2 linked regions of the Ovis aries genome follow. The protein of the gene in region 1 purifies or fractionates together with the protein of each later gene. This does not show direct contact. Links are inferred from orthologs where the notes say so. Each region holds a gene or a part of one and is shown in the gene's direction. Other genes may lie near its edges.

Region 1 (10,458 bases):
GAGAGCTGGCCTCTACTGAGCGGGAGCTGGATGAAGCCCGGCTGGCAGGCAAGGAGCTGCGCTTCCACAAGGAGAAGAAAGATATTCTCATGCTGGCTGCTGGGCAGTTGGGCAATATGCATTCCTCCAACTGCTAGGCATCTACCCACATGCTCGCATCATCTCCAGGCCTGTTTTTTATATGTCCTTTCTAAGACGTAGTGTGATTTCTGTACATACTTTCTCAATTTTATACTTTAAAATATAGATATATATATGTGTGTATGTATAAATTCTACACCTAGATTCCTATTTGCTAAGATATCCCTTTTCTTACTTCTAGTTTTTGGATGTAGTTGCTTTTGAAACATATCCACACTGCTTTACAAGAAGAGCAGGCTGTCTTCAGAGCTTTGTGGGCTCTTACACTGCCAGTAACTCTGTGTAGTCATTTCAGTTGCACAAAATGACTTACTAGGTGTTCATGTCTCCTTTTAAAATAACAAGGAGCTTGAATAAGGACTGTGAGCCCCACCCTTACCTTCATTCCTACTTTCTCTTGGACCAAACAGAGCATGCAAATGAAAGCTTTGGCTTTGGTTTCATCTTGAGCTGGGCCTACTTGGTACCAAGTTGTTCCCTCAGCAACTAGGTTATTTCATAACCTACACCACACCACTCTACCACCTTACTTCTCTTCTGCCTCCAAACAGTACTTCATTTTAGGGCTTCCTCACTTTATTATTTGAAAGGGAAGTGGAGAGCTGGTGGTTTCTTAATTTTAAAATCATTGCTGAGAAACTTCCCAGGAAGAAGAGAGGAATTATAAACACAGCCTGCAGGGGTTTATCACCTGTTTTGCTTCTGGGGCATAGATGCCATACCATACCAGAATCTATTGAATGGGTAAGGGTTGAAGTTATCTTTCAATATTCTCTTTTCACTCCTCCCCTGCTCACCAAGCTTAGTTAAACCCTGTCTATAGATCTTTCTGCTGCAAAGATTGGTAGAAGGTAAAACATATTTCCCTTTCTTAAAAACCTCCTCCTATCATTTTGGTTTTTGGAAACATCTGTCCAATTTGGTGAGGGCTATGTTCCTCCTACTCCCATGAAGTGGCTACTGTTTATGACCTTAGATGTATATAACTAGATTCACATTGGTGTTCCTCTTTTCTTTCCTTTTCCTCCACAATGATTATTAGAGCATGAGCTGATCAGGAAAATTAGAAGATACTTTGGCATAATGGCACTTCCTAATAGGAACCATGAGAAATTTCAGGAAGGGAAAAAGAATCAATGATCAGCTACTTATGTTTTTAATATGAATACTATTCTCTTCCCTTACCTCTTTTCTGGGTAAAATAGGAGAAAGATGATCTGGAGTATAGCTAAAGCATTCCCCTTTGGGAGAATTTTTTGTACATCTCTCTAAGATATATTTTCTTCTTGTTTCTGTAATCACCTTTATACTTTACTATAGCTCAGTGCACTTCCTAAACTGAGTTTGGGAAATTTAATATTCCTGTAATTACACTTTCCGTTTAACAGTTATACACTTTGCTTTTAGAAATAGGTTAGGAAACAGGCTACAATTTGCACATTTGGATCAGATAGGGAAAAGATGAAAGTCTGCTTTCTTGCTTTTGAAATCATCTTAGTGACCAGTATATATGGGATCAGAGGTAAGGAATCTAACAACAGTTGTATTAGTACTTGAAAGGGATTTCCTTGAATTCTCCAAGCCCCATCTCTGTATTCCATGAAACACATGTAAGGTTGGAGCAGAGGCTCACTGCTTTTAAATAATAGGTGTGTCTATTCAGTTTGTATTTATGTTTATAATCCAGAAATCACAAACCCTCATTTCTCCTTTGCTGATTTCTCTGGGAAGGGGTGTGAATTATGGAAAGAACTTGTCTTTGCATCTCCTTGATTATTTTTCTCAAATACCAACCAGTAAGGTCCCAAAGAACTTGGAGAAAAATTCTTCCCTGATATGTCCACTTTTGGTGTTAAATTTTTACTTACCTTTTTAGTACTCTCTATGTATTTTATATGTATAATTTTATATAATTAAAAATAGATTTTTGTCTAGTGAGCCATATCGACTCTTTCTTGAGACCCATGTATCAGAGAAGTTCTAAAATGACCCTCTTTAAAAAAGTTCAAAAAAGAACTTTTCTTAGTATTTTTAGGGTGGAAGAAATAAGATTGTACTGCTGGGAGAAGGCATCTGCCTCCCCTTCTCCAGAAATTTGAGGAGCCTGAATTTGGTTCTTGACCCTTTCTCCTCAAGTTCTGCCCTTTTCCACTAGCAGTCACACCCACTGTGGTGGCTTAAACTCTATCATACACACAGTTCTCAAACCTGTTCCTTCCACCCCAACTTCTTTTGAGCTTTTACATCTGTATTTCCACACATTGCACATTACCACCTGAATGACACAAGCTCTTTGAACTTACTTACCTAAAATAAAACCCATTTCTCCATACATGCTCCTCTTTGACTCCCCACGTTACTGAAATTACTGCCTAGGAATCTAACCTAGAACTTCAATTCTCCTTGAGATCCTTCAATTCCTCTTTGCCATCATCTAGTCAATCACTTACTGTTGAGTTTACCCCTATATAAACTTCTAATCTGTTTTGTCCATATATACTGAATTGGTTCATTCCTTTAGCATCTCAGGGCTGGACCACTGCAATTATCTCTACCTTCATTCTTCATGTCCTCTACATTACTATCGGATTTCTTTCTAAAATACTTATCACTGTACCACTCCCTTGCTTAAACTATCATCTAGCTATCTTTACCTTTAGCAGAACTTCCCAAAGTTTTATATGTGAACCCTTGGCATTATCTGACAAGATTTTAGGTGGTAGATGGCCAAACATTTTTCATTTTTACTAGTTATGCTTTTATCTGAATTTGTAATAGAAAAATATGGTCTCCACTGATGGCAGTGATATTTAAACAGTATAAATTTGTTTGGGGCTTCCCTGATAGCTTAATGGTAAAGAATCCTACCTGCAATGTGGAAGACCCAGGTTCAATTCCTGGGTTGGGAAGATCCCCTGGAAGAGGGCATGGCAACCCACTCCAGTACTCTTGCCTGGAGAATTCCATGGACAGAGGAGCCTGGCAGGCTACAGTCCATGGGGTTGCAAAGAGGTGGACATGGCTGAGCAACTAAGCACAGCAGAGCACATAAATTTAAAATGCCAGTCTATTTAAGGAAAAAGTCAAAAATAGTATGAGGGCTACTTGCAAATGTTAAAAATTATGAATACTAAAATATTGAATTAAAAAAATTTCTTGCCTATAGGGTAAGTTCCAAATTTTTAGCATGACATACAGTTTGACCCTAAACTATATTTCCAACTTTGTTTTCTAATTAGACAGCATCAGGCATAAAAAATTTCTTGCCCTCCTGATATTCATTGGATATGTATTTAGCAATTGTCTGCTATGGATCAGGCACTGGTCTGAACTTTGAGGATATAGTTGTAAATAAGAATCTCTGCCAATGCGAAAGACAGTAAACAAACTAGAAAGTAAACAAAGTAATTCAAGATTTGATTTTAAGTTCTGTGAAGGAAATAAGAGTGAAGGATAGAATAGAGAAGACTCCTTTGAGTGACAGCAGGATTTCAGGGAGACCTACAGGATGGGGTTGAACCAGCCATGTGAAAAGCTGGAGGAAGCTCATCAGGGGCAGAAAGTTACAAAATGTCCAGAGATGAGAAAGTGTACAACACAATTGAGTATAGGGAGTAAACATAGTTGAGAAAAGTATAGTAAAGTAATAGGTGAGAGGGAAGAATGGTGGTGAAACAGTCTGGAGACATAGGCAGATCAGGCTGTGAGTCGGAATTTTATTCTAAGTGCAAAAATAAGTAAGGGGGATTTCAGTAGAGATGTGACTTTTTTTTTAAAGATCATACTATGTACTGTAGAGAATGGATTAATGTATCTTAGTTTCAATACAGCTGTTTTGCCTGGAAAGCAAAACAGCCTTACAAGCACAGTTTAAATGGAAGCCCTCCCTTAAATGCACTCTCCTTAATTCCAGTCCTATTAGAAACTTGTATTGCTGTAGTACCTTGTAATAGCAATGATCACTTTCATAATATTATTATAAAGTGATTGTTGATGCTGTACTTCCCCTTGTATTGCTAGCACCTCTACTATTAGACACACATATAGGCATTCACAACTGATTTTAAAATTAATAAATGACTACTTATCCACTACTGTTTTTTAAGGCCTATGTCGGATTCCAGAATGTGGGGGCAATATTCTTTTTCCTCAACTCCTGGGTTTTTAAACGTGAAATATCTGTACTATCCTCAAAGAAGCTAAAGCCTCTGTTTTCTTTAAAATCACTTTTTCTTAATTCCCAGAAGCGGTGGGTAGAATTTAAGAGACTATTTTTAATTTGGGGGGCGGGTGCGTGACCCCGGGTTTGCAGGATTTTAGTTCCCCCACCATAAACTGAACGGGGCCCCCGAAGTAAAAATGCGGAGCCGCCAGGGAATTTCCTGAGACATTATTAAATAAAAAAAGAAAAGTTGATACGTGTCTCATCAATAGTATTTCACGGGAAACCAGGTCGGCTGATTTTCTTGAGAGAAAGCCGATGCTGGGAGGGATTGGGGGCAGGAGGAGAAGGGGAAGAGAGGATGAGATGGCTGGATGGCATCACGGACTCGATGGACGTGAGTCTGAGTTAACTCCGGGAGTTGGTAATGGACCCGGAGGCCTGGCGTGCTGCGATTCATGGGGTCGCAAAGAGTCGGACACGACTGAGCGACTGAACTGAACTGAACTGAACAGTACGTTCCAGACGCAGCTTTTTGAGGTAGCATTGCTGACTTAACTTTTTTTTTTAGTGCTTCCATCAGAGATCCGGCTGCTCTTCGGTACAGTACAGGCCTGCAAGTTTTTAGAGAAAAAACTTTCTTCAGCTTCCAGTTCCTGGTATGGAAAGAAAAGAGACGAAAAGCAACCCGCTAATAAAAATTTGGCTGGGCTTCACAAGGAAATGGCAACCCCTTCCAGTATTCTTGCCTGGAGAACTCCATGGACAGAGGAGCCTGGCGGGCTACAGCCCATGGGATCGCAAAGAAGTGACACGACTTAGCGACTAACACTTTCACTTTTCACGTCAGTAGTTACTTTTCGATGCTTAGTGTTAGGCGCTCAGTCATGTCCGAAGCTCTGGTTAAGAGGAACTCACTAGCCCCACCCACCCCCTACCTCGCCGCCCACGGGCGCCGCGGTCTGCTCTTGACCCGCTCAAGATGGCTACAGTAACACTTCCGTTATCTTCCCTAACTAGGCCCGCCTCCATTGCGTATTTTTACCGCGCAGAGGGCGGGACCTAGTGTTAGTTTTTGATTGGTCAACTTGATTGATGACCTTTTCCTTCCGCGACAGTTTCCCGAGGAGCCAAGTGCCTGAGCGGCACGGACGAGAGTTGGAGGGAAGGAAAGATGGCGGACGTACTTGATCTTCATGAGGCTGGGGGCGAGGATTTCGCCATGGATGAGGATGGGGACGGTGAGGACAGTGGAGGCGGCTGCGGGAAGCGGGGAAGGTGCGAGAGAAGGACGTTTTAGGAAAATATAATCTTTGTCCCCAGTAGGGAGGAGACGAGCCAGGGACGAGCCAGGGAACCGGGTTCTGTTGGTTGGAGACTCCGCCCCCTTTGGGAGGAAGAGGGGCGGGCCGGGAGGGACAGCCTGGAGGTGGTGGGGTTTGCTTTCAGATAATGTCTTGCAGAGAGAATATTGTAAACAACTGTTACCTTTCTCACTTATTCCTTTTCTTCTGGGGCTCCAGAGAGCATCCACAAACTGAAAGAAAAAGCGAAGAAACGGAAGGGCCGTGGCTTTGGCTCCGGTGAGTGTTTGTGGGTGGAATGGGGTCGAATGGAGAGAGCTACGAGTTTTGGAATCCCCATTCAGACCTACGGTGAACAGTAGGAGAAGGGGGATTTCCGGTGATCTGCTGTGTGTTTCTAATAGAAGAGGGTTCTCGAGCGCGGATGCGTGAGGATTATGACAGCGTGGAGCAGGATGGCGATGAACCCGGACCACAACGCTGTAAGTAAATGGAACCTGTAGGGATCTGTCTGTACAGAGTTAGGGACCAATGAAGTAAAACCCAGTAGGCATGGAGTCAGAGGTCGCTTAACCAATCTCTGTGGAGCCTGCACACACACTACTTATGTGATCTCGCTGAAGTGTTTGTTGTGCTCAAACAACTTTCCTCTGTTCCCCTACCTACAGCTGTTGAAGGTTGGATTCTCTTTGTCACTGGAGTCCATGAGGAAGCCACAGAAGAAGACATCCATGATAAATTTGCAGAGTATGGAGAAATAAAAAATATCCACCTCAATCTGGACAGACGTACAGGATATCTAAAGGTATCCTGAGCCATACTCCATTGCTTCTCTTCATCCATAACCCTTAGACAGCATTGGTAGTTCTCCCACGTTGGCTGTGGTTGGCCAAGAGTTGAAATAAAATGAGATTGGGAATTGATTGTTAGACATAGCAAAGAGGCAGAAACAGACAGACAAGTTGTATGTATAATAGGGATGTGACGTGCATTTGTTGTTTAAGGTTGATAGATTTTCCTAGTTGAGTAGAAAAGAGCTTGATGGAGTTTTGATGATCTGTTTTTTTCCTGTTCTAGGGGTATACTCTAGTTGAGTATGAAACATACAAGGAGGCCCAGGCTGCTATGGAGGGACTCAATGGCCAGGATTTGATGGGACAGCCAATCAGCGTGGACTGGTGTTTTGTTCGGGGTCCACCCAAGGGCAAGAGGAGGTAAAGTGCAGAGGGCAAAACATTATCTTAGTGGAAGGAATATGAGCAAAGCAGAATAAGGACATAGTATTATGTTCCTCTCATGGACCCTGCCCCTTTTCCTTCTTTCTAGAGGTGGTCGGAGACGCAGCAGGAGTCCAGACCGGAGACGTCGCTGACCCATCCTCTGTTGTTCAGGTGTTCTCTCCAGAGATTCCATTTGACCATGCAACCTTGGAGAAATACAGCTGGGGTGGAACTCACTGTGTTTATATTTAATCTGTTACACTGTTTAGTGTTTCTTTTGAATTATGAATAAATGTACAATTTTTGTTTTCTAATTACTTTCCTTTTCTAATATTGCAAGCTCTGGAGTACTATTTACAGTGAGACAGTATGGGTCACTGTGAAGATATTTCTCCCAGGGACTGAATTCTGTGTGAGTTTCTACGTTAGATACAGTCTCCAGTGTCAGGGTCAAGTAGAGACACTGCTCAGTATTTCTTTTTCTTTGAAGCTAAGAGAGCAAGGGTAGAAGTAAGATGTTCTCATGACAGTAAGGAATAATCATTCATTCTGTTCCTATATATGCTGTCCTGAGCAAGTGGTATCATAGAGATGTCTCTTTTTTCTCTCCTGCCTTTCTTGTTGCTACATTTGTTTGTACTTCCATCTGTCTCAGAGCTTGAATCTCCTGTTGGGGCACTCTTCCAGAACCTCCTTCCCTGGAGGAGTCTATACTATGTTCTTGATGCCGTCTTTGGCGCCCAAAGGTGAAGGCCCCACAGAAGAGAGGATCCAGAGGAGCACTGAGGAGGCCAAAGAGGAAAAGGATGTGGCTGAAGCTAGGAGGCACTTCAGTTAGCATGGTGGGAGAGAACCAGTACCAAAGACCCAGAAGGTAGTAAGGTGTCCAGCAGAAGATGAAGGTCAGCAGGACAAGTAGGGCCAGTAGTAGGGCCCGATGACGAACATGGGAGTGATTGTCTAAGGAGCGGCAGACGGCAAATTCACCTGCAGGGGCTGGGAATTTAGAAAATACACTCGAATTCAGAACCACTTAGCTTCTAAATTGATAGGCAGAAATTGTGAGATAGAGCTCTTCCCTCTATAAGAGAATGCTGCAAGCCCTCCTCCCCTTCCCAGCCTGGGACTATATGCTCCCTTCCCATCAGAGATTATGACAGACAAGCTGGAAAAAAGGTTTCAATTGAGGTGCTGTGGTACATGAAGCTACAAAGTCTGTTTGAAGTGTTGGTGTCCAAGAGCAAAGGAAAATACTGATCTCCCTTCTCCTTAATTCTTGCCTAGCTAACTCAACTTCAGAGAGTGATGGCTAGTGGCTGGTTAGAATTGAAAGCATTCAATGAAGTTAGTGTGGCTTTAGCTGCTAGAGATACAGTTTGTTGTTAGTCGCTAAGTTGCATTGGATTCTTTTGTGACCCCACAGGCTAAAACCCACCAGGCTCCTCTGTCCATGGGATTTCCCAGTCAAGAATACTGGAATGGGCTGCCATTTCCTTTTCCAGGCGATCTTCCCAACCCAGGGATTGAACTTGAGTGTTCTGCAGTGCAGGCAGATTATTTACCACTAAGCCACTGGGCAAGCTCCTTGGTTTGATAGATAGCTATCGTATTAATGAGGCTAGACAATAGTTTTAGGGTATGGGTTAGGGCCTGGGGGTTGGAGTCTCACTGTGGTTCCCCTTCCTTGTCTGAGGAGTGGACACACTGCAGACAATGCGGCTATAGCAGATGGTCATTGCAGTCAGTGGCCTCAGAAAGAGGCAGCAGAAGGTGAAGAGGTTATAGATGATCTCTTGCCATAGAGACTTGGACAGTGTGGAACAGGAACAGCTAGATTGGAGTCGAGGACTATTAGAACTGGTCTCCCTTCTCCCCTGCCAAGCTACCTACCGATTTAACACTATCTCCTCCTGATTCATTCATTCGTTTTTGTGTGTGTGATTGTTAAGAAATTTGGGAGCTAATACAGTGTATAATCTCAATCCATTCTTAATTCCCTTCAGTGCTGAGTAATGGTACATCTGTGGTGTCATATTTAAAAGGTTAGAAATGTATCTTGAAAATCCCTATTTTCCTCTTAGGCTATGCTTATTAAATCCAGGACTTAAAAGAATCCTGTCTTTTGAGTACTATCTACCATTTATAAGAGGATATCTCTACCACCTCACCAACATTTTTTTTCCCTCACCGTTTTTAGCTGAAATTATTTTCCTGATGTGTCTGTGATTAATTCTGTGGGAAAAATAAATCTTGTATAAAATGGGAGGTGCTAGAGTTGCAGGCTATTTTGCAGTCACTCTCTAAAGTGACTTTAGTTATAGTCCTATGTACAATAATTATAATGGTAAAATAACATTAATAAAATTTAACATTTTCCAAATGCTGTTGGCTGCCCCTCCTTTTTTTGGTAAACTAGTTTTTGGTTTGAATCAGTAAAGAGCATTTTTCAATTGAGAGCTTCAGGGTTTGTACCTTAGTTCAGGTAAGGTAGATTGAGTCAGTATTAGTTTGATAAAAGGCAAACTTAGTAGGTATCAAATTCCTAGATATGAGGCCTTTCAGAAAGGGATTTCAGCTGGCATGAGGGACTTTTAGGAAAAGTGAATAGTATTAGTCGGAGACATGATTTTATGAACTGCTTGGAGTTATGACCAGGCTGTTCTACTTGGGGAGTGGTCTTTCCTTTACCCCTATCTTGAGTCCATGTATTCCTGGATGGGTTTTTGTTTTTTTTTCTTTTGGTGGTGGGGCTTCGTAGCAGGCAGGGAGAGTGGTGTGGTGAGGGTGGTGTGTGTGCATGGCTTGGCACTATGCCTAGAAAACATCTGACTTGTGAGAAGAAGGTTTAAAAACAGGCAAGGTTCAGGGACTTATATTTTAGTCCAGCCTCTTGACTATTTTATATGCATTTCATATTTTACTACCTACTATAGAAACCTTTACTTCTGATACTTGGAAATGAGTCTATGAAAATAATTTCTACCTACACCAATATTCCCTTGACCATGCTAACAATTTTTAATTGACATTTTAAATGCAACATATGGGCACTGCAGAATTTATACAAGAGGTTGATAATTTTTTTTTAAAGAGGTTGATAATTTGGAACCCAAAATAACACCTTTTGCACCTGAATCATGTTACCATCAGTTTGCAATTGAAGCAAATAGAAATTGCATTGTTGGACTGTCAGGCTCCAAGGAAGGATGAAATTCATCTATTCCATAATCTTGTGGTCTGTGCATTTCAAGTGATTTAGCCAAAGTTATCCAGTTAGTTAGTGGTAGAGCCTAGACTCAGAAAAAACAGAGCAAATTAATACAAACAACAAAAACAGTCCTAATTCTAATTCCCAGTCCACTTCTAAAATTAATTTCATATAAACCTAATTAATTTCTTTTGCACTGAGGCAACAGGCAAAGGGGTCCTGTTTACAACATACTGTTGGAAGCAGTATTTTTTGTTTGTCTTAGAACTGCAGTCAGACTAATTTTGGTAGTTACATTTCTAATATTTGAGGATTTAAGAATCCAATCTTAAATGTGACTACAATGCATTATTCCAGAGACTGAAATGTTAACCCCTCTCCCTGACATAATCCCAACCATAGGCTCAGAGATGCTGCTTTACA
Region 2 (9,705 bases), on another chromosome or scaffold:
CCAATTTTCCCCCATCTATTTGCCCAGGCACCGTTCCCTCCATCAGGCCCTGCCCCGGTTTTCCAGTCGGTCCCGCCTCTTCTTCACCAGACACAGCTCCAACCGGCCCCGCGTCCCTCCTGCCACCAGGGGACGCCAGCGCCTAAGAAGGCTTTCTGGCCGCAGAAGGTGACGCTCTAGGTAGTGGCGGCTGCTCCGTGGCCAGTAGCAGCGACGCTCTAGCCCGCAGTGTGCCGGGCGGGCTCTCAGTGGTGCGGCCGGCGGGAGGCGATGGCGGCCGTACGGGGCCTGCGAGTGTCGGTGAAGGCGGAGGCCCCGGCGGGGCCGGCCTTGGGGCTCCCGTCGCCTGAAGCGGGTTTGGACCGAGGCGAACCGGAGCCCATGGAGGTGGAGGAGGGCGAACTAGAGGTCGTGCCGGTTCGGCGCTCGCTGAAAGAACTGATCCCGGTACGGGCGGGGGGCGGGGGCGAGGAGGAGGTCGCAGAGCGAGTGTCCCGCGCTCGAGCGAGCCGGAAGGGGAGGCGGCCGGGGCGGAGGGGAAGTCTGGGGAGGGGGGCACCGGGGCGAGCGCCCGGGGGGCGGGGGCGCCAGACTGGAGCAGAGTCGGAGGAGCGAGAGAAAGGACGCCCGGGCGCCCGGAAATGGGTGTTAAGGGGGCTTGAGGAGGAGGGGTCGGAGAAATTGGGGTGGTAGCTGAGGACACCCCTTTCGCTGCCCCTCCGAGCCGCTCTGTGCAAGAGGACAAGTGAGGAGGGTTAGGGCTTGTCGGGGGGGTGCGGTTTGAGATAAAGAGGGAGCCCCCCCCGGGCGGGGACACAACCTGGAGCGGCCCAGAGGAACTGTCGGGGAGCGGGGCGCGGGCATCCTGCTCCGGTTTAGCTGGTGTTTGTTAACCAGAGCACCCGCGGTTTCCCTCGGGAGGGCTGGGCTGGTCAGCTGCAGAAACTCAGTGTTTCTGTTGTGACCTGAGGGTCATCTCGTCCCCGCGCGCCTCCACTGCTACACCGTGCCTCCAGCATCTCACCCTTCGGGGAATCAGAACATCAGCGAGCCAGCAGTGGTCCTTGGTCCCTCTCTTCTGTCACAGTAGGATGAGGAGAGGTGTTTTGCTTGTGGTTTGGTGGCCTGATGTTCGTAGGGCTGGTCTCAGGCCTGCGTGGCTCTTCTTGTGTATTGGTACTTAATTTCTCATCTGACCTGGTCCACTTTTTTGCCACATGTCTGCAAGTGTTGATTTTAAGCTGAAATCATGGAAGAAGGTTTTTAAAAAATGTAGGAGCACTACAGATTGTAAATTATAATGACTCTGTCAACAACAGTTAACATAGTGGTTTACATGTTATCATTTAAATATCAAGGAAGTTGAGAAGTAGATGTTGTCATCCCTTCATTCATTCCGTTGGACGTGAGCTGTTGTATCCCTAACACTTTGTGGCAGGCACAGTCCTAGCCACTTGATCAAGATCAAGGTCAGACTCTGTCCTGGAGTTTATGTTCCAGTTGGGGGCCACAAGTTAACCAATAATTTCCCAAAGTGGTGAATGCTGTGGAGAGAATAAAACACGTTAATGGGGTGGAAGAGTGCAGAGGGAAGCTGTGGAGAGCAGGAAGCAGAATGCCACAGGATCACCAGGAAAGTCCTCTGAGATAGTGACATTTCAGCTGGACCCTAAGTGACAGAAAGGAGCCAGCCATGTGCAGATCTGGAAGAGTTTGTTCCCAGCAGGGGCAACTTAGTAAACCCAGAGGCTCTGAGATGGGAACAAGATTGTTTTATTGGAGGAACAGAAAGTTCAGTAGCACAAGTGGGAGAGCAGTAAAAGAGGTCAGAAAGGTAGGCAGATGCCACAGAAGAAACCTAGGTCCAGAGAAGCCAGGGGGCTTGTACAGTGTCTTGTAACCAGCGAAGCTTAGAGCTGTGATTTGAGTCCCCCGGCTGCCGAGTCTCATCCTGTTTCACTGCACAGTGTAGTGTTTTCCCCAGAAGGTCGAGGTGAGCCTGGACTTTCTGCATTTCAGTGAAGACTTGTGCCCCATCTGGTGGCCTGGCACAATGAATTTGTCTAGTCTGAGCCGGGGAGATGAGTGACTGTACCTCATCGTGGATATTTCTCATGAATGCCTTTGGATTTTCATTTACACGGATACCTTCAGTAGATGGAATTACTTTAGGTTGTGGACAGGCAGGCTCTGATTTAGAAAAAGCTTCTTGGTAGAGTGGTTGATTGCTACCATGGAGTCACTGGGACAGGCTTCCTCATAATAAAGGGTTGTCAGGGTAGGGAACAGATTGCTGAAAAGACTATCCAGAAGGAATGGGTTGTCAGGCTGTTGTTTATCGTGTGCTTGTCCTCAGTTGCCTGTTAGCATTTCTCACCCATCCCCTTGGTGTTAGGACACAAGCAGAAGATATGAAAACAAGGCTGGCAGCTTCATCACTGGAATTGATGTCACCTCCAAGGTAAGATACACCATGATTCATTTATTCATTTTGAGAAGCGGTTGAACTTAATGAGCAAGTCCCTAGGACTTGTAGAACAGCAGTTATTCTTTACCACCTTTTTTTGTTGTTGGATTAAGCCTTTTTAAGTTTATATTTTGTGTTTCACAATGATGCCTGAGAACATTCAGGCAGCATTTGTGTTTTCTTGAATCCATGAGAAGATAAAATCACTAGATGCCTGTGCTTAACCATGTCCAAGAAAAAGTTCTGTGTGTTCCTTTTACATACATGTTTATTTGGCTGTGTCACCTCTTAGTTGTGGCACGTGGGATCTTCTGTTGCCGAGCACAGGCTTAGTTGCCCCGCAGCATGTGGGATCTTAGTTCCCTGGCCAGGAGTAGAACCTGGGTCCCCTGCATTGGCAGGTGGATGTCCCTATCCATTTTTTTAAAAAATGTGTAAACTGTTTCCACTTTAAATGAAGCAAAGCATAAAAGTGTCTGGCACATAGTAGGCCTTTAGTAAATGTCTTTATTCCTCACTGATTGAGGCCTAGAAAAATAGCCTTTCATGACTATGTGGCTAAACTTTGAAGGCCAAGTGGACTGAATTGTTTTCACTGCCTGGGAGTATTGCCTTTTATCTGGTGATAGCTGTTACTAGATTACCAGCTTCATTGCAGCTCTTCACAGAACCAGACATTATTTTCCTTACAATCAGTACTTATTTGTTGCTTTAATTGGTGTTGATATTCAGCTTAAACATTCTTTCTGATTTTAATGTGTGCCATTTAAAGAGTTGAATTAAAACTCTGAATAAATAAAACGGTGTTACTATATTGGATGTATGAAAGCAAAAATAAAAATAAGTATGTCATGCTTATTTTTTTGTGTTTTATCTGGGTCTCAATCTGTCTCAGATTGCTTAAAGGCAAAAAGAAAGAACTGATCATCTTTTTTGACAGGAAAATAGAATGAAGTGAAGGTGTTTTCTTACTGAAACTGAAAAAGCAGTATGCAGTCCTGTTCTTAAGCCTACACAATTTACCATTATTTGAAACAAATATATAGTGGAAAGGGTGGTAGCCAAGAATTGGTACTTTGGTTCTTACCAAAGGAAGGTAAACTAGTTGTTTCCAGTGGGAAGACTTCAGTGGAGAAAATTAACATAACTATTGGGAAATAACAGAAGTGTTGCTGCCTTACCAATCCCCAGAAGCTTTCTATAGTCAGACCTTCAATTAGTGTGGCAAAGTCAATATACAATTAGTGAAGGTTCCAAAGAGCTATCAGAAACCCACAGTTGGACCTGGGTATATTTTAGCTCTTGGGGAAAAAAAAAATTAGGAAGCTGATTATTTGGTTTTTCAGAAAGCATCAGTGCTTCTTTTCACTTCAAGATGAAAACTGGCAATTCTGTGGACACAAGTTTAGAATAGAGGAGAGAGTTTCTTGGCTTCAGTGTTATTTTTAAACACAAAAAAAGCTTTAGGGAGTGGACTGCTCAGGCAGACATAACGTGATAGGTGTGATTACCATGCACACAGACGATGTGAAATGGGGGCGGTGGTGGGGCTTCTAGAAATAGCGCTGAGAAGATCTGCCCCTTACCAGCTGAAGTGCCCCTGGCAAACATTTTAGCTTTTTTGTGCCCCGGTTTCTGCACAGATACATTGATAGGCACTGAGTCGTCCTCGAGATGATGACAGATTGCAGCACTGCTAGCGCCCACTCTGCCAGCCATTGCCAATACCCTGTTCATTGCAACAATGAGGCAAGGCACAGTGTTGTTCATACCTTCTGAGTTGCTTGTCAAGCCAGTGTATCACGTGATGTTTGTGATTTAACTCTCCTCCACATTTCACTTCTTTGGCTTTTTTTCTGCACCTTCTAGGAAGCGATTGAAAAGAAGGAGCAGCGAGCCAAGCGCTTCCATTTTCGATCAGAAGTAAATCTTGCCCAAAGAAATGTAGCCTTGGACCGAGACATGATGAAGAAAGGTACAGGGTGTTTGGGGGGAGTTTTCCGCAGTTTCCTTGCCACGGCCTTGTGCTTCTGGCCTCACCTCACGTGGAACTTGTGAATTCGCCGCTTCTGAGGTGGCCTGTTAGCGATGAGCTGCGTTAGCTGTGTCTCAGTGTTTTGTGTATGTGTGTGTGTGTGTGTATTCATTTGGCTGTGTCAGAACTTCAGGATACTGTCTAAGGAGCCCCAGAGAACCTCATGGAGTTGGTGGCAGATCGGCGATTAGAACTGTGGCTCTGTGGGACTCTTACTCATTTTCTGCTTTATTGTAGAAGTGTTCACTTTTCTTTGCCTTTAAATGTAGCAGGAGTGTATCGCAGTGAGACTCTTTTAGAGGAGTCAGATTGGTGAGGGATACCGTTAATACTTCTGTTGATCCAGGTTTGTGATTTTACTTTATTTTTGTGTTTTATTAAGGTTAAGTATTTTGCTTCCTGAAACTCACCCTGAATTCTTAAATATGATAACCTACCCCAGATTTTGAAGACAGTTTATAAATAGAAGGGAAAATTATTGCTTCCCTTTTCGTGAGTTCACAGCCATGTTTATTATCCCGTAAATGCAAATGATCTGCCTTTGTTGTATTTGCAAATTGGAGACTTGGCGAAGGGCTTTAATAGGCAGCCATCTGAAGGCACGTTAAAGGTCTGTGCTCTGCTGTATGAGTTTCTCTAGGTTTGCCTATTTGATAAAAACATGTTGAATGAATGGAAGAGTAGCTACTATTTGTCGGGAACTTGCTCTCTTATGAGGCGCTGTGTTAGCACATTACATATTTGTTTCGTACTCATTTCTCACAACAACCCCACGAGGAATATATTTTTATCCCTAGTTTACAAAGAAGGAAACAGGCTCAAAGAAATTAAATAAATGCGCAGGTTTACACAACTAGTAAAAGTGGAGTCAGGATTAGAACTCAGATTTATCTGACCCTAAAGCCTTGCTTTTAACTGTTTGCTCTGTTGCCTTACAATGTATGACATGATAGCAGAGACCCAGGCCGCCTCAGTCCTTCCCAGTGGTCAGAGTAGCTCAACTCTGGATGCTACTTCACTGTTTTTATTCTGCATCGTGTTCAATTTGGAAACATGACCTTGCTTGCCTCGCAGGCTAGGTTTCCAGGCATCTGCTCGAGTGGTTGTCTGTTTCAGGAAAAGTCCTGTGAAGGCCAGGGCCAGCTGTGCAGCTGGTCGTTCGTGTGCCCGCACACTGGACCCACACAGACGTCTGAGGCCTCTCCCACAGCCCCACCTTGGACGCACTGTGGTTTCACACCGCGCCTGTTTACTTCTAGTCCTGGGCGCGTTCCATGTGGCATCTTGCCTCTGATCTCGTTCATGCCTGTCACCCTGCTGATTCGTCTTTCCTTGTCCCACACTTTGTCTGGTTCAGATGTCACGCCCTCTGCAGCATCCCTAATTACCCTCGTCAGTCTCTCTTCCCACCTGTGCTGGGGCTCTTCTGAGCCCGGAGCCCTCCTGGGATCCAGTCTCAGTTCCTTAGTGAATGTGGGGGAGTTAGTGAACCTTTTTAGGTTTCATTTTCTTTGTTCATAAAATGGGAATATGATACCCTCCTGAATAGGACCTCTTCTTTTGGGGTTAAATTTTAATTAAAAAAAAAATGCTTTTTGAAAAACAGTCTTGATCTCATGATTCTGAAGATACTCATAAAAGACCGTAGATCTCCCTAAACTATCAGTGGCTCATTACAACCTGTTTTTGGCCCAGAAGGCAGCATGGCTTCAGACTGTGTTCTTGAACTCCAGATAACCCTGCTGCCTTTCACAGATCGATTTAGAGTAGGGGGTAGGTTTGGATAAATCTCAGAGTTACTATTTTTTCATCTCCCCTGGTAATTCTGTTGTACAGTCGGGGTTAACTGTACCCTAAGAGCGTGGATTCTGAAGCCTGACTGTCTATATTCAAATCTTGACTTGTCACCTTCTAACTGTGATCTTAGGCAAGTTATTTAGCCTCTAAGAACCTCAGTATCTTCATCTGGAAAGTCAGGTTAACTTAGTTCTTACAGGGTTGTTGGGAGGTTCTAACAAAATGTTAGGATTCCTAGAGTGGTGCCTGGCACATAGTAAATGTTAGTTATTATTATTATCTGGCATTCTCCATCTTCCAGACAGCCATTTAAGTGGCCCAGCCTCTTGTGAGAATGGGGACATTGGAATAAACATCTCGATTCCTGCAGCCACAGTAAGGTACCGGGTTATTTCTTCTTATTAACATCAACAGTGATGAAATATACCATTCTATAAGTGCTCCCCACGTGGCAGTCACTCTGCTGTGTGCTTAATGTACCCTTTCAGCAACCCCATTGCAGGGAAAGTTTTATCATTTCTGTTTTACTGGTGGGGAAAGGAAGATGCTGAGAAGTTGAGAAACTTGCCCAAAGTCCCACAGGGAGTAAGTAGCAAGGGTGACTTAGAAGGCTGGTCTGACTGAAGCCTGTGTTCCTGACGTCTCTGCTCGTTTCAGGGATGCAGTGTGCTAGACCAGTCTGTATTGAATGACCTGCTACTCTTGAGTGACTGGGTGTTAAGCAGCTTGGATCTTTTTATCTCCAAGGTCAATGCCCTCATGGTTGGAAGGGACCTTAAGAGTCATCTGGGTCCCATTTCTGGCCCTGTGCTGCAGGCCTTTAGGCAAAGTTCCCAACAGTCTGTGGCCTCTGCCTGAACAGTTCTTAGTGGTGGCATGAGAGCTATTTATGAAGCGGTCAGTCTTGTTTTTGGATACATCTTCATGTTGAAAACAAATTGCTTTCTAGTAATTTCTATCTGTTAGTTACTGCATAACTCTTAGAAGAACATTAAGTCATTTCCTCGTTCACACAGTAACTCTGCAGGTGAAGGAATGGACAGCCTGTGCCCTGGACTCTCTCAAGTGACAAGGCTTTGTGGTCTCCCTCCTTTAGAGCCTGCTCAGTTTCTTGCTGTGCTTCACCAGGCGAGGTGCAGATTCCAGATTTGCTTGGATTTGTGGAGTGCTTGGCAGGACTCTGACCACGGTGTCTGTCCTGGCCGCTTCGTAGTAGTCACCTTCTAGCCAACCAGAGCACCAGTTCTTTCCCCCAGGAACTGCACCTGTCGAAAGAGTCTTTCTTATTGTGTCCTTTAAAAACTTGCCTTTTTATTTGTCCTTATTAAGTTCCATCGTGATTTCAAGACTCCGTTTCCACCTGTGGAGTTACGTTCGTTTTAATTCTGCCCTTCAACATTTTAGCTACGCTCCCCCCTTTGGTATGGCTTCTGCATGTTCATCCAGTTGTTGGTAGACGTCTAACAGGATAATCCCATGTCATGCCGTGACACACAGATCCATGAATGTTAGTCTTATTCTGTTCTCTGGCCCGTCTCCTGTTTTATTGTCGTGGGGATCTAGCTTACGTGCCTTAATAAACTTGAGGTAGAATACCATCTGTGGTCTTCTTTGAATTTCTTGGCCTGCTAATCCAGTCAAAAAAGAGAAGAGGTCAGCTGGCTTGCTGCTTGGCCTATCATTTCCTATGGGAAAGACTTGGTTTCTTAAGGGATCAGAGATTCTGTCTAAGCTGTATTTTAAACATTTCTGAGAATGACAGTCTTTTTGATCTGTTTGGGAATTTCTCTTTTCTTCTTTTATGAAAGTCAGTATGGGATCAGTCCTTAAAGTTTAAGGTACCTTGCTCCTTCCCTGCAGTAATCTTAGAGATTATTACCCGATTGTGAAATCACTGCTTCGTGTTTTAGTCAGTATAATAGGGTATAACTCTAAACTAGATGGTTTGAATCTGTTAAAACTATTCCTTGGGGACTTCCCTGTCAGTCCAGCGATTAAGACTGTGTTGCCAGTGCAGGGAGCATGGGTTCGATCCCTCCTCAGGGAACTAAGATCCCATATGCCACAGGACAAGGCCAAAAGATTAAAAAAAAAAAAAAACTATTTCTAAAGCCCTTGTTACCTGTCTTGGGTTTTGGTTCTTACTTAATGATAGGTGCTGCTGTCCGTTAGTACTGTAGCAAAATTGATCAACAGTCCTGCCCTTTTTCCTGCATCATCTTCCCAAAGCAGTGTTGCTCCAAACACTTGTAAATAAAACCAACCATCAGCATTTTTGTTGAGCCTGTTGGCTCTGGACTATAACCTTTTCTTCTTTAGATGTTAAACAGACAGTTCATGTCCACCAAAAAACATTTGGAGAGTGAAGTAAGAAGAAAGGTTGCGCACAGTCCGCCGCCCAAACCCAGTCACTGTCAGCATTTTGCGGGTTTCCTTCTAATCTCTTCTGAGTGTGGACTTTATTTTTGTTTCCCCTTGTAGTCACGCTGCTTTCTTTCTCTTCACGTGACAGTCTGTCATCGGCACTTTGTGTTGCTTCAGAGCCTGACACAGTTTTTCAGATTCTTACATCTATTCTCTTATATTTATTAATTTGCCCTTTATCCATCTCCCATATGTGTTCTTTGGCAAGTCATGCTCAGCTAAGCTTTGCTGCTTTCTCTTTTCTTGGGATCACCTCTCATACTCTGAGTTACTGTATTTAGTGTCTTCCAGGTTTTTTAATCCTTCTGATCTTAGGCTTGGACTGACTACTGCTTCTTTGGATTTTCAGAAATCTGCTTTCCTAAAAACTTGAGTTTTGTGTACTGTGCTTAGTTGCTCAGTCATGTCTGACTCTTTGTGACCCCACGGACTGTAGCCTGCCAGGCTCTTTTGTCCATGGGAATTCCCCAGGCAAGAATACTGGGTGGGTTGCCACATGTCCTCCTCCAAGGGATCTTCCCAACCCAGGGATCGAATTCAGGACTCCCGCACTGCAGGCAGATTCTTGACTGTCTGAGCCACCGTAGAGCCCTTTGTGTACCGCTGCCTGTCAGTAATTGGGATCTTCCCTGTTGGAAGGGAAGATGGTTCCCTTACCCCCTTGCTTGTAGTCAGCACTTGGTAAACACCCAGTTCTCATTCCCCAGTTCATCTGTTTACTGCCACCTCAGCAGTTAGTCCTTGCTCATCAGCTGGGCCTAAATCTAGGTGCTGTCTTTGTTGCTTTGTTTTATTTTAAGCAGTGACATTGTCAGCAAGGTGACGAAGTGTTGACATTCTGCTTTGGCAGGCTTCCATCGTATCTTGAGCTTGTCTCACATATGATTAAATCCTTCTTTGTATCAGCATCTTCAAGATTTTTTTCTCTTGCTCCTTAGTCTGTTTCCTCTTCCTTCACCAGGAGCTCTCCTTCTTGTTTGTT

The links.
Region 2: the proteins of RBM8A (region 1) and NCBP3 purify together in Homo sapiens (co-immunoprecipitation; 3 studies listed by BioGRID and IntAct, with this or other methods). This does not show direct contact. The link is inferred for Ovis aries from reciprocal best matches to the Homo sapiens genes RBM8A and NCBP3.

What each region holds. Positions count from the first base shown.
Region 1 is NC_056054.1:99,249,273-99,259,730, reverse strand, and holds RBM8A (RNA-binding protein 8A), read left to right. Parts: upstream 1-5,419; 5' UTR 5,420-5,477; coding exon of another isoform or gene 5,478-5,499; coding exon 5,500-5,581; intron 5,582-5,826; coding exon 5,827-5,886; intron 5,887-6,011; coding exon 6,012-6,089; intron 6,090-6,275; coding exon 6,276-6,412; intron 6,413-6,684; coding exon 6,685-6,821; intron 6,822-6,933; coding exon 6,934-6,979; 3' UTR 6,980-9,207; downstream 9,208-10,458. Other genes in the region: LIX1L (LIX1-like protein), read left to right, coding at 1-137.
Region 2 is NC_056064.1:24,358,296-24,368,000, reverse strand, and holds the start of NCBP3 (nuclear cap-binding protein subunit 3), read left to right. Parts: upstream 1-247; 5' UTR 248-270; coding exon 271-447; intron 448-539; exon of another isoform or gene 540-745; intron 746-2,395; coding exon 2,396-2,461; intron 2,462-4,336; coding exon 4,337-4,442; intron 4,443-9,705. UniProt on the Homo sapiens protein: Associates with NCBP1/CBP80 to form an alternative cap-binding complex (CBC) which plays a key role in mRNA export. NCBP3 serves as adapter protein linking the capped RNAs (m7GpppG-capped RNA) to NCBP1/CBP80.